3 linked regions of the Xenopus tropicalis genome follow. The protein of the gene in region 3 purifies or fractionates together with the protein of the main gene of each other region. This does not show direct contact. Links are inferred from orthologs where the notes say so. Each region holds a gene or a part of one and is shown on either strand. Other genes may lie near its edges. The genes, in order: nup37, ahctf1 and nup133.

Region 1 (4,404 bases), about 76 Mb from region 3:
TTAGAAGTTTATAGGCTAATGATCTAAACAGAAATGCTTTTATCTGAAAGGATGCAACCTTCAGGTGATCCCATATTCTATTTGAGCAGTATATTTAGGTCCTTCAATGGTCAGGACAGTTTCAAAGTAAATTGCATTCCTGAGCACATCTCCAGAGCAAGTCTTATCAGCTACTGCACACTGTTTTATTGTTTACTGTCCTAGAGTCCAGCTTCAAGCACAACCCCCCTAAAACTCCCTTTTCGTTCCCAAGAACTCCCTTCTGCAGAGCCTTTTTCTATAACGTGTAATTGTAAGACAATATAAAAACCCCCCAATCCTTTGTCTAAGTATTCTTAGACTCTTGCTCAGAATCTGTGATAAATAAACTTTTTCTACCCCAAATGATATCCGGTATCTGAATTTCCATAACAGTAGCATATCTTAACCTGATGTGGTCACCCAAGTCTTTGGCCAAATCAGGCTACAGGACCATCAACCAGATAATATGAGATAGCCATGCATTGCTGCTTAGCCATCATGGCCTACATCCATTCTGGTACATTCCTTGTCTATAGGTATTTTCTTCAGGTAAATAAGGCTCTCCCTAAGTATGGGAAATATATATATATATATATACACACACACACACACACACTGGAACAAGGACAGCACTCAACGTTTCAGTCTTACACAGAAACCTTAATGGTCTCCAGATGGGTAATAAACCTTTCTATTTTTGCATTTACATTTTGCTCACAATTCTTTAAATCCTAGGAGTGCTGTCCTTGTTCCAGTGCATGTTTTTGGTACTACCACCCAGGTATGCACCCTATGGACAGATGACAGATGATAGATAGACAGATAGATAGATATTCTATGCAAAGAAAATCATAACACAAACACAACTCCCCTCACCCCACTACTTAAAAAAAAATAATTACACAAGTGAATATGTATAAACATTGCAAAGACTTAATAGAAAACAGGCCAGGGATGGGGCTGTTCCCGTTAGGACTACTAACCTTTAGCTGTCTGCCTACTGCTTCGCAGCAATATGTTGTGCCTGCAAAACATATATTTTTTTTTAAATGTGGCTTAATTACATAGAGGGTGAATGGTATGCTATATGTGTGGGGGGTTAAGAGAGAAGCAGCCATGGGGTCTAATGAAGAGAGAAGGAAATATTAAAATATTAGACAGGTGTAAAAAAAAAAAAAAAAAATTTAGTATAGAAGCAAAAAGTAGATAGTGTATGTACATCATACTTACTTGTGGGGGTTGAGACAGAACGAAGTTACCACCAGAAGACGCAGCTACTATTCTCTCTATCAAACAAAACAGCAGCTGTTTCTCCTTTCAAAAACCTCGTACGTTCGTGGGACTTTTAAATTTTCGTAGCGCCACAGAGTTGCCTAGATTCAGCCAATCAGCGTGCGCGACCTAGAGCCCCGGATATGATAGGTAGTAGGAAGGGGATTCGCTCGCTTTGAAAGAGAACTGCAAATCTACTGGCGGGAGCAGGGCAGGCTGGGTCGGTGTGTATTGGTGATACAGCGGGGTTTCTGCGGTTGCTGAGATAGTTATAACTACGGAATATGAAATGTTTTGGTTGTAGGGTACATGGTCTGCGTATATTGCCAAAACGCGGCGTGTATTAATGGTGGCGGGTGGCTTTGGTAGAATGCGATTTCACCCGCTGTAAATGTGTCAGGCGTTTGCCGTCTGTAAGTTGATCGTATACAGTTTGAGTGCTTGTTTGTAGTAGTAGTAGTAGTAGTAGTAGTAGTAGAAGTATGCGTGATGTATATATGTAGGTTCTTGTTTGTCGTATAGTAGAAGAACGATATATCAATTGAACAAACGGGTGTATGCACTATAAATAAAATAAATACACACTACACAAAATTAAAGACAAAAGGAGGTCCCTGCCCAGTCTAAGTAACTTTGTTACAGTGGTTGTTCGCTTTAACTACTAGTATGATGTAGATCGTGCTCTGAGACAGTTTGCAGTTGGTCTTCATTTTTAATTGTAGTTTTTAAATTATATAGCTTTTTCTTAAGCAGCTCTCCAGCAAGTTCAGCATCAGTCTGGTTGCTAGGGCCCAATTTAACCTAGCAACCAGGCAGTAGTTTGAAAGACACAGGAATATGAATAGAGGAGGCTCGGAATAGAAAGAAAAAGTAACCATAAAACTGTGTCCTCAGCTTTTTGGAACCACCCCTTTAAAGCAATACTGAAATGTTTCCATAAAAATCCATTGGAATGTGTCCGTATTACTAACGAGTTGCAGAACCAAAAACCTTCTGCCAAAAGCCCACTAACACTGGCCCCAGCGCAGCAATAATTTACCTGAGGTGACACTCCAACATGGCTACAGATTCCTTTGCAGTTGTGTCAGTCATGCTGGGCTAAGTGTGGCTTGATCCTTCCATAGGCAGTTTTTATTTGTAATTAGCCCGTGGAAACTTTGCGTGACAGAGAGCCTTACGGATTCTTCTATCTGTCTCCTTCCTGGGCTGGAGGTGGTGCATTCCTTGGGGACTTTTGGCCATAAATACGTTGGTGCTGCAACTCTTCAGTAATAGTGACATGTTTTCTAGGAATGTGTCAGTAGTATTTTAAAGCGACCATAAAACTTTTTTGTGTATATCTAGCTCTACGAGGGCATGGACCTCCTTACTGCTGTGTCTTTTAGAATTTACATTGTACTGCGCTGCATTACTGCATTTTCATGTATTCATGTAGCACTTCATAAATACAAAATTTATAAACATACATACATATGCTCAACATAGAACTGCCCCAAGTATTATGCATTTCAAAAATACACTGACCAAGGGCCTACGCAATTTTGGAAACTGATAAGTGCAAACTGATCTATCAGCAAGTTTAAGGGCTCTGGCACACTAAGTAAGTCGCTGGTGGGCAAATTTCGGCAAATCGCCTGCGCAGCGTGTGCCATCCCACCGGCGACTTACATTTTCGCCTGTGGGATGGTAGTTCGGGGAGATTAGTCGCCTGTGACAAGGGAGATTTGTCGCGGGCGACTAATCTCCCCGTGTGCCAGAGCCCTAACAGCTGGAAAGGGTCTTTTTTTTTTTGCACTTTTTCTTTCATTAAAAGGGAGTCTCCATCTGCTCTGCTCCGTCTAAGGTCCTTATCAGGGTCAGGGTTAGCAAGAGCCATGCTGTCGCTGACTGTTTTTAGTGTGTTGAAGCAAACCAGAGTACACAGAAGAAACCCTGCACAAAGGAGAGAAAACACTACTTCTTCTTGCAGAGAATGCCCAAGCTGGAATTAACCTCATGTGCACACTTGAGAACACATGTGACTACAGCCATCACAGTAACACCTGTGTTGTAAAAAATGGCTTAATAAGGGTGCAAAAACTGTACCCTTTTAATATAGCATAGATCTATACATAAAATTTGAAGATTTTCTTTTTCCTTTTAGCACTTTTAGAAATAAGAAAACAGAAGCAGACTATGAAGCAAGATTCAACAAGTAATGCCACCTACACAGTGGACTGTGAAGATTATGTGCATGTAGTAGAATTTAATCCCTTTGACTCTGGGGAGGCAGGCTCTTTACTAGCTTATGGTGGAATTAGTTATGTCGTTATTGCATCTTGCAGGTTTCAGGTATGTACATGCCAATTATTTTTTCATTTAGTGGCTGATTTAGGGTAAAATTGTAGGTGTGTACATTTTTTTTACTCCAGGCCATTGTGAGAGTCATATGGAATCACTTGGAAACATCGGTTGATAAATGAAAAACTTTTTAATGTTGTGAAACATATATGTAAATTACTATTATGGAGTCAGCATTGACTACAGCAATTTTCCTAGTAGATAATCCACTTCACATTAGGGGGGCAGGGTATGCCTTTTTAGAACAGATAATATTAAGCCTAATGATCCTGATTCTGTCTTTTAAGTATAATCGCCGTTGGAAAGGCTTTTGCATCTCTTTGGTTCTCCAAAGTCGTGCAAAGTTTCCAGCTGTAGGCAATTTTGGAAAGCTGAAGAGATGTGTAGACTTTTCCACTGGACTATAACCTTTGTTTCTGGTGGAAAGGCGAAAAAAAGTGTTTTGGGACCCAGTGCTCCATTGTAAACTACAACTTCTTATAGTTATACTTAACATATATAATTTTAAAGAAGAAGAACCACTATATTTTGCTTGAATTCTTAACACAAAGGGCATCATAACTGTTGTATGGAACTGCACTAATATCCAGCCTACTAATATACTCATACCTGTGCCTATACGTGATATTTCATTTTTAGGAAGAAGATTCTGCTGTAGAAGGAATAGAGTTTAAGACCCTAAAAACCTTCCATCATGGAGAAAGAGTGGTTGCTATAGCCTGGAGTCCAGAAACACGATGTGATGCTTTACTTCCTCTACTGAGGTATGCA
Region 2 (3,723 bases), on a different chromosome or scaffold from region 3:
TGGGTTTCTGGATAACAGATCCCATACCTGAACAACATAATGAGGGTAACAGTAAACATGTTACCCTAACACTTGTTACCCTAAGCAGTGCACAACCCTGAAAGAAAGCCAGGGTAATAGGAATACCCTGCTTTTTAATCTATTAAGTGTACCTGAGTCAACATTCTTACTATGATTAAATTATTCAAACCATACTGGAAGCTTGAATATGTGCAGGCAAAAAACTGCTTCTACTTGTCATGGTTCCCATATGTTCCATAAATGGATAGTGGTCAGTAAAGCTGATGTCAGCCAGTAAAAATCACAACATCAAGTCTTAGATGTTTATGAAAGAAGCTGCAACGGTGATGCATTGCCTGCAAATCCGTTCAATCAATCCTTTCATTTCATAGGGTAACGGGGCTATTTAAATCATATTCCATGCTGAAAAAGGAATGATGAAATTGCACTGGGCTTACCTTTTGTAAGGTGAAAATTCTTCCCTTTTTTCATTTGCAGTAGAAACTTCTTTAATTTTTGACAGAACATTGCAAATAAAGTTTGCTTTGGTTATTATACTTCCAGGAGCAGCCTGCTTTGCAGTAGTTGATAAAGGCTTTGGTCTAGCAACTAGAAGTAAAAAAGAGTGAGGTTAATTATATTTTGCCAAGAAAAAGTATTTTACTGAACTTTGATAATTAGGAGAAAGAAATATATATACCTTCTCTCCACACTAGCGATGGTAATGAGTAGGGTTTGGCTCTTTCGCTTGCAAGAGTTCGCTGGACTCTTGGCAGTATTTTTCCATACTGATCCAGAATAGCATTTCTTGCCACAGATCTCTCACGCAATCGCCGGTCACAATCATTCTGCTCCAAAGGAGGGGGGAGTGGTTACATTTTATAAATTGTATAAATTAAAAGATACCTAAATAAAGTGTACTTAGATTTACCAAGTGGTTTGTTTTCAATGACTGGTTTAGCTGCAAGGCTGGTATATAATTTGCTCGTTGTAGATGGTGCACCAATAGCAGCTCCTGATTTTGTACACCGGTAGTCTGCAAGAACTTGTGCAAATAGTCCTAAAATTGAAAAGTTTTAGAGAAAATAGTCTTTCAGATGTGCTACTTAGTGGCAGTCTGATACATTTAGTCAGTTTTCTATTCACTTACTTGCTCAAAATCTGTAAATGTTAGCTTTAGTAATTCTTCAATTAGCCCCATTTCTTGACATGTTTCATACATGTGTTTGAGCAATTCTTCTACATTCAGACGACTAGAATGCAGTCTCTGCAAGTTCCAGGCTTCCAAAATAGACCTGTAAGCATATCAAGTCAAGCTTTATTGTCATCACATTTGCGTACAGAGTATACAAATGAGACAATATCACAATATACCATCGAATAGAAGACAGAAATTATGCATAGCTTATCTGAAACTCCAATCCCCATCCCCCCTCGCGAGCAAAGCTTCCATTACATCCGACACTCTGCTGTTCAACTTCCTTCAGCCTTTGCATGTATACTGAAAAGGGCATGTTTGGTCTATCTTGAGAACCTCAGCTTCTACTGGCTCTACCCCACTCACAAATCTCTTGCTTCTCAAGCATTCTGATATTCACGATACTCCGTACCGAACAACATATTCTCTATATAAATAAAATAACCTACTCATAAAGGCTGCTTCAACTTACATGAACAAACACAAATATGTAGACAAACAAGGCTTCTTATGTCAATATGTTACCATGGAATTTTTTTGTTAAATGAGAATGCAAAATCCACAGAAAGGGACCAAAAGTATACTAGGAAGCCACTGCAACACTGCCTTAACTGAGGCAGGAAGTGAAGGAAAGCTAGAGTTCAGATATACGACGACAAGGCGCTTGTAAAGTTAGCTAAAAGAAAAAGCATTAAGCGACTGTAACAAGGACTCACTTACAAGGTGTCACTGCTAAGTACTGACACCTTGTAAGTTAGTTCTTGTTTTGGCTTTGGCCCAGGGCATTTAAACCCGTAATTTAAAGTCTAAGAACTAATTCCATGTAGTGTCTAAAAGTCTTTAGACTTTAAATTACGGGTTTAAATGCCCTGGGCCAAAGTCTAGCTGCTACAAGATGAAAAAAGACCTGATAATGGGATATACCGGTTGGTTTATGACACTCGGGCAGCCAGCAGGCTTACACAAAGCTCCAAACTGAGTAACACATAAATGAAAGCATACGATAACAAAGCAAGCAGAGAACCACTATAAATGGAACCATTAAAAAACACATTAGGCGAATAAGATTAAGGTATAGTGGGCTTTTAAAGGAGAAAGAAAGGTAAAAACTAAGTAAGCTTTATCAGAAAGGTCTATGTAAATACAGCCATAAGCACTCACTTCTCTGAAAAAAGATTTCTTGTACCTGTAATTCATGTGCCAGAGACACGCAGCTCTCTGCTTTCTCCCCTCTCCTGCTCCCCCCTCTCTCAAGAATGCTAAGAACTCACTCCCCACACTTGGGAATGTGGATCTGAGCCAATCAGCAGGAAGATGACTCAGTCTTACAAACTGAGCATGCACACTTGGTCTCGGTCTAGGAGTGAGGCATTATGGGAACTTTCTTTACACAGGTGAAATATGAGGAGATTTAAGGGCACTATTGAGACAACTGAAGGTATGCCTGCAGCTTGAGATTAACTCTTCATTAGCCTTTCCTTCTCCTTTAAAGATGTGGAATTTCAATTGCATTGCCTTAAAATAGCAATACCCAACCAGTGGCTCCTGAGAAAAATGTTGCTCAATAACCCTTTGGATGCTGCTCCCAGTGGCAACATAGCAAGTGCTTATTTTTTAATTCCCTGCTTGGAGGCAAGTTTTGGTTGCATAAAAACAAGGAGCCCCTATAGCCTGCCAATCTACATGCTATAAAAAAAACAATCATAGCACCTAGGAACTGTTGTTCTTTCTCCAAAAGCTGCCTTTCTCCAGGGTCAGAGGCCCTTTGGTACTCACTTTCTATTTCAAGCATTCTCTCCCTGTCAGATATTCCCTGTGTCTCAGTCTCCATGATCCTCAGGTTTCCATTCACACACTAGGAACAACCAGGACAATGCCTCTCCTTTAAAACACACAGGAAAGCCCTGTCTCCCCCAGACAACCAAAGAGCCCATAGGCTTAAGAGCACACCCCTTTTAATTCCACAGGCAGCTCCTCGCTCAGCAGCCACTCAATTGCCTGACTGAAAGGGATTATTAACCCTATCTGCCCTAAGTATCCCCTGGAGTTCATATCATGCACACTGTTGCTCTCCACATCTTTTTACAGTTTAAGGTGGCTCACAGGTTAAAAAAAAAAAAAAGTTTGGGGACCGCTGCCGTAAGGCATCACATTAACATTTTCTTACCTGTTTGCAAGCAGCACAGTCATATGTAGTTTAACCTCTCTGCTGGTGGCTGCTACAGGTTTCATCACTTGTATATACCTAAGAGCCTGTCTCTGATCTCCTTGGCACATCAAAGTTTCAATGATTTGTGAGTGCTGCCATGACATAACACGACTTGCTGCAGGATTAAGTATACAGTCTATTGAGTTCTAATAAAAAGTACAAAAAAAAAAAAAAAAAAAAAGTACCAGCATTAGTGCCAACAGGATTTACTAGTATTTCCCACAGAACACTAAAACAGATAGTATATATTTCTTAGATTAAGACATGCCAAAGGGAAATGGTACAGGTTCATCATACACAAACTCTACAAGTTACA
Region 3 (4,185 bases):
ATCGCCGGGCCCCCTTTGAAAGTAAAAATTGCGGCCCTGCCTACGGCACACCAGGCAACATCTCGCGGCACACTAGTGTGCCACGGAACAGTGGTTGAAAAACGCTGATCTAGGGTGTGTTACTATATATTTTAATCTTTTCATTCTTCCTTTTCGCTTTACCAATTTTAAAAAATTATTTTAGCTGTGAACATAAATTAAAAGTTATATTTTAAGATTCTACAGGTGTGCCAAAAAAATTGTGTTCTTTTCATCTTTTGCTTTATATGTGACACACAATGGCCTTCCAGAGATTGTCTGTGTGGGCATGGAATTAAATATCGCACTATTATCAGCAGAGCTCGTGGTTTTCACTTACAGGTATCGGACCCCTTATCCGGAAACCCATTATCCAGAAAGTTCCGAATTACGGAAAGGCCATCTCCCATAGACTCCATTATAATCAAATAATTACCATTCTTAAAAATTATTCCCTTTTTCTCTGTAATAATAAAACAGTACCTTGTACTTGTTCCCAACTAATATATGATTAATCCTTATTGGAAGCAAAACAATCCTATTGGGTTTAATTACTGTTTAAATAATATTTTAGTAGACTTAAGGTAGGAAATCTGAATTACGGAAAACCCCAGGTCCCTACCATTCTGGATAATGGGCCCCATACCTGTAATAACAACTGCAACTCTGCACCTGGGCTACCAGGAATTAAGGATGCAAAATACACTATTTAATTTACATTTTCAGCCACTTACAGGAAAAAAATATCACACAAACTGCTCACTGCACAAAGTAATTGGATAACACTGAGACAGCAAGTACAATTTTTATTGTTACTGTAGGACGACCAAGCCAAAAGTAAATGTGCCAGTCAATGGTTATTACTGGTTGCTGCACTAAGAAACAATGGCAGACACTAATTCTTAGACTGAGGGGAAAAAACGACTTCCTTTTATCATTTTATAGATTGTAAGCTCTACGGGGCAGGGACCTCCTTCATCTTGTGTTTCTGACTCTTATTGCAACTGTACCTTGTATTTATTGTTATACTTTGTATTTATCCATTATCTTTAACCCCGTCTGTATTAATGAATTCTACTGCACAGCGCTGCGTACATAAGTAGCGCTTTATAAATAAAGATATACATACATACATACATACATGGGAAAGTTATAGGATCACCCCGTCTATTATCATCCACTGTACAATTTTTAGGGCTTTTGTTTCCTGTATTATTTGGTTCGGTTATTATTCTTCCATTGCTTAGCAAACTATTTGCATGAATCCCATTTTCTTCCTTGTAGGTCAAGAAAAATATAACTTGTTTAAAGAGCAAGTGGATTTGACGCAACCTGACTGACTGAACGATAACCCCTGGTTCCAACCAGTTGGCCAGTTGCAGCCTAACAGGCCGGGCCGTTGCTTATGACGTCACTAGCAGCGCGCCATTTCCTGCACTTCCTGAGACAACGCGGGTAGCGAGCGCTTTTCAAACTATCCCGACACAGCGGCTACCGGATCCAGCATGTTTCCGTCACCCCGTGCTCAGGGTGTGGGCTCAGCGCGGCGGCCGTTTAATGCCCGACTGACTGGCGGCAGGAAAGGCTTGGGTCCGGGAGTGAGCGCCAGTTCTTCCCCGTCGGCGCTGTACTCGCCTGTGGGTCGTAGAGTTTCCAGCAGTGGCGCCAGATCCACCCCGTCCCGCGTTTATCTCCACCCGGCCGCCTCTGAGACGGTGAATTACAATGTACAGCTGTTTGGTTCCTCCTTGCCAGTTAAAGTAATGGAGGCCCTGTCTAACTCCGGTGTAGACGAGCCCTTGGCTGCTCGCATCCATGAAGGCGGATGGGCATGGCTGGCGTGCAAGGATCGCCTGATCATTTGGAAGATAAGTCACTCCACCTCTGCTAAGTTAATGGTGTGCAAAGAACTGCCTCTTCCACTGAGTGACAGCGAATGGTCTGCTGATTTAGCGGATATTTGTGCCCACACGGGTGACTCTGCTGCTGGACAGGCAGTGGCATTAATGGCGGCCACTCCTGAAGGGTCAGCCCGCTACTGGCCTAACATTCTCCATGAGAGCAACTATATAGAGTCTTACGCTGACTTTGGCTCCTCTCTTTGTGCATTTGTTACAGCTGTAAAAGGCAACAGTTTCATCCTGTCTTCAGAAAAAAATCACCTTGTACGACTGACACCCGACGCGTCCGGAAAGATTAATCAACGTATTCTGCCGCAAGGTCAGGGCATGCTGTCCGGTATTGGCCGCAGGGTGTCCACGCTCTTTGGCATCTTGTCTCCTGCTGTTGAATCCACGCTCTGCAGTGTTCTCTGGGATAAGGGAGATTGCTTCTATACTCTCACAGACTCAAGTATAAACAAATGGGACTTGGATGATGCTTCGGAAAGTCACGTGCTTACCTGGGACATGACCAGAGTCCTAAGAGAAAACATATCTGATGCCATTTGGGGGTCTGAGAGCAACTATGATGATATAAAAAATGGAATTAACATTGATTATTTAAGTCTTAACCAGAACTGTGATGGTTTAGTCATCCTGGCTGCTGCCTGGCATCCTGGTGATAACCCCTGCCAGATATATTACACACTTGTAACCGTGAAAGACGAAGGTTATAATATTTCTGATGAAATTACAGTGGAAGTCACTCAGTTCAACCCTGTGTTTCAGTCTAGAGATATGCAGCTGTGCCAGCTTGTGATACCAAATTTTAGCAGCCAGGCCTGTTACTTGTATACCCAAGATATGGTCTTTGCATGTTCAACAGGAACTGGAAGGAGCACTTTGCCTCAAGAAAAGATTCCATTTGAAGCACAAGGAGATAATATTATAGGAGCTGGATCCTGTGAAGGTTGGCCAGTTTTTTTCATTAGAAAGAGTGGTATGCTGACCGTTGTTGCTAGAGAGACTGCTTCTGTGCTCCCAGAGCACATGGAAGAGTCACTGTTGTCCGTGTCTAAATCCAGCTCTCAGGCTGCAGTAAAGGACTCAACTTCAAGACCTGACCAGATTGCTCATGATGATAAGACCAAACTTCTGAAGGCCGCTTTTTTGAGATGTTGCAGGAAAGACATACTGGGGGCACAGAGCATGGTGGATAGCCTGTTCTCAGATTCAGACATGGGACCAGATGATGAACTGGATCAAGCAGTAAACCAAATAAGCGTCGATTTGATTGATGATTATCCTGCCTCTGATCCTCGTTGGGCTGAATCTGTCCCTGAAGAGGCAGCTGGATTTAGCAACACTTCTCTAATTCTCTTGCATCAGCTGGAAGATAAGATGAAAGCTCACTCCTTTTTTGTGGATTTCCTTCATCAAGTTGGACTTTTCAGTCGTTTGAGCACTTGTCAAGCAAAAGGAATGTTCGTAGCAACTCGACTGTTGCTGTGTGAGCATGCAGAGAAACTGTCTGCTGCAATTGTTTTAAAGAACCACCATGCTAAGCTCCCTGCCTTGGTTAACTCTGCCATACAACTTGCACTTGATAAAAGGATGTGCTCCATACCCCAGAATCTCACTGCCGCCGATGTCTACTTTAGAGAGGTATCCCAAATGGATATTATCTTTGAATGCCTGGTAGACAAAGAGGAAGCTGACTTGGAAAGTACTTCCATGGACTCAGTTGAATGGGCAAATATAGTTGTCAATATCAATACTATTCTGAAAGACATGCTACATGCTGCCTGTCAGTACAGACAAAGTAAAAATTCTCTCTATAAAAATGAAAGTGGAATGCAAGAGCCCGAGTATGTTCCCTGGACTGCTTCTAGTGGAATTGCAGGTATTAGGTCTGTTGTTACACGTCAGCATGGTGTAATATTGAAGATCTACCCACAAGCGGATAGCAGCCTTCGTACTATACTAATTGAGCAGCTTGCAGCCTTGCTAAACTACTTGCTTGATGATTATGTCATCCAACTAAAATCAGTTGATAAACGGACTAATCAAGAAAGATACAGTGTCCTGGAAATGGAGTATGCTCAGAAGCGGTCAGAACTTTTAGCTCCTTTGTTAAGCCTAGGACAGTATGCCTGGGCTTCAAATCTTGCTGAGAAGTACTGTGACTTTGATATCTTGGTGCAGATATGTGAAATGACTGATAATCAGAGCAGGCTGCAAAGGTACATGACTCTATTTTCAGATCAGAATTTTTCAGATTTTCTGT

What was found.
Region 1: the proteins of nup133 (region 3) and nup37 purify together in Homo sapiens (affinity purification with mass spectrometry; 4 studies listed by BioGRID and IntAct, with this or other methods). This does not show direct contact. The link is inferred for Xenopus tropicalis from reciprocal best matches to the Homo sapiens genes NUP133 and NUP37.
Region 2: the proteins of nup133 (region 3) and ahctf1 purify together in Homo sapiens (affinity purification with western blotting; 3 studies listed by BioGRID, with this or other methods). This does not show direct contact. The link is inferred for Xenopus tropicalis from reciprocal best matches to the Homo sapiens genes NUP133 and AHCTF1.

What each region holds. Positions count from the first base shown.
Region 1 is NC_030679.2:49,128,880-49,133,283, reverse strand, and holds the start of nup37 (nucleoporin Nup37), read left to right. Parts: upstream 1-1,485; 5' UTR 1,486-1,517; intron 1,518-1,540; exon of another isoform or gene 1,541-1,684; coding exon of another isoform or gene 1,685-1,706; intron 1,707-3,436; coding exon of another isoform or gene 3,437-3,468; coding exon 3,469-3,624; intron 3,625-4,272; coding exon 4,273-4,397; intron 4,398-4,404. UniProt on the Homo sapiens protein: Component of the Nup107-160 subcomplex of the nuclear pore complex (NPC). The Nup107-160 subcomplex is required for the assembly of a functional NPC.
Region 2 is NC_030681.2:51,310,827-51,314,549, reverse strand, and holds part of ahctf1 (protein ELYS), read right to left. Parts: intron 3,554-3,723; coding exon 3,366-3,553; intron 1,296-3,365; coding exon 1,151-1,295; intron 1,061-1,150; coding exon 932-1,060; intron 849-931; coding exon 701-848; intron 610-700; coding exon 459-609; intron 1-458. UniProt on the Homo sapiens protein: Required for the assembly of a functional nuclear pore complex (NPC) on the surface of chromosomes as nuclei form at the end of mitosis. May initiate NPC assembly by binding to chromatin and recruiting the Nup107-160 subcomplex of the NPC.
Region 3 is NC_030679.2:125,105,826-125,110,010, forward strand, and holds the start of nup133 (nuclear pore complex protein Nup133), read left to right. Parts: upstream 1-1,385; 5' UTR 1,386-1,523; coding exon 1,524-4,185. UniProt on the Homo sapiens protein: Involved in poly(A)+ RNA transport. Involved in nephrogenesis.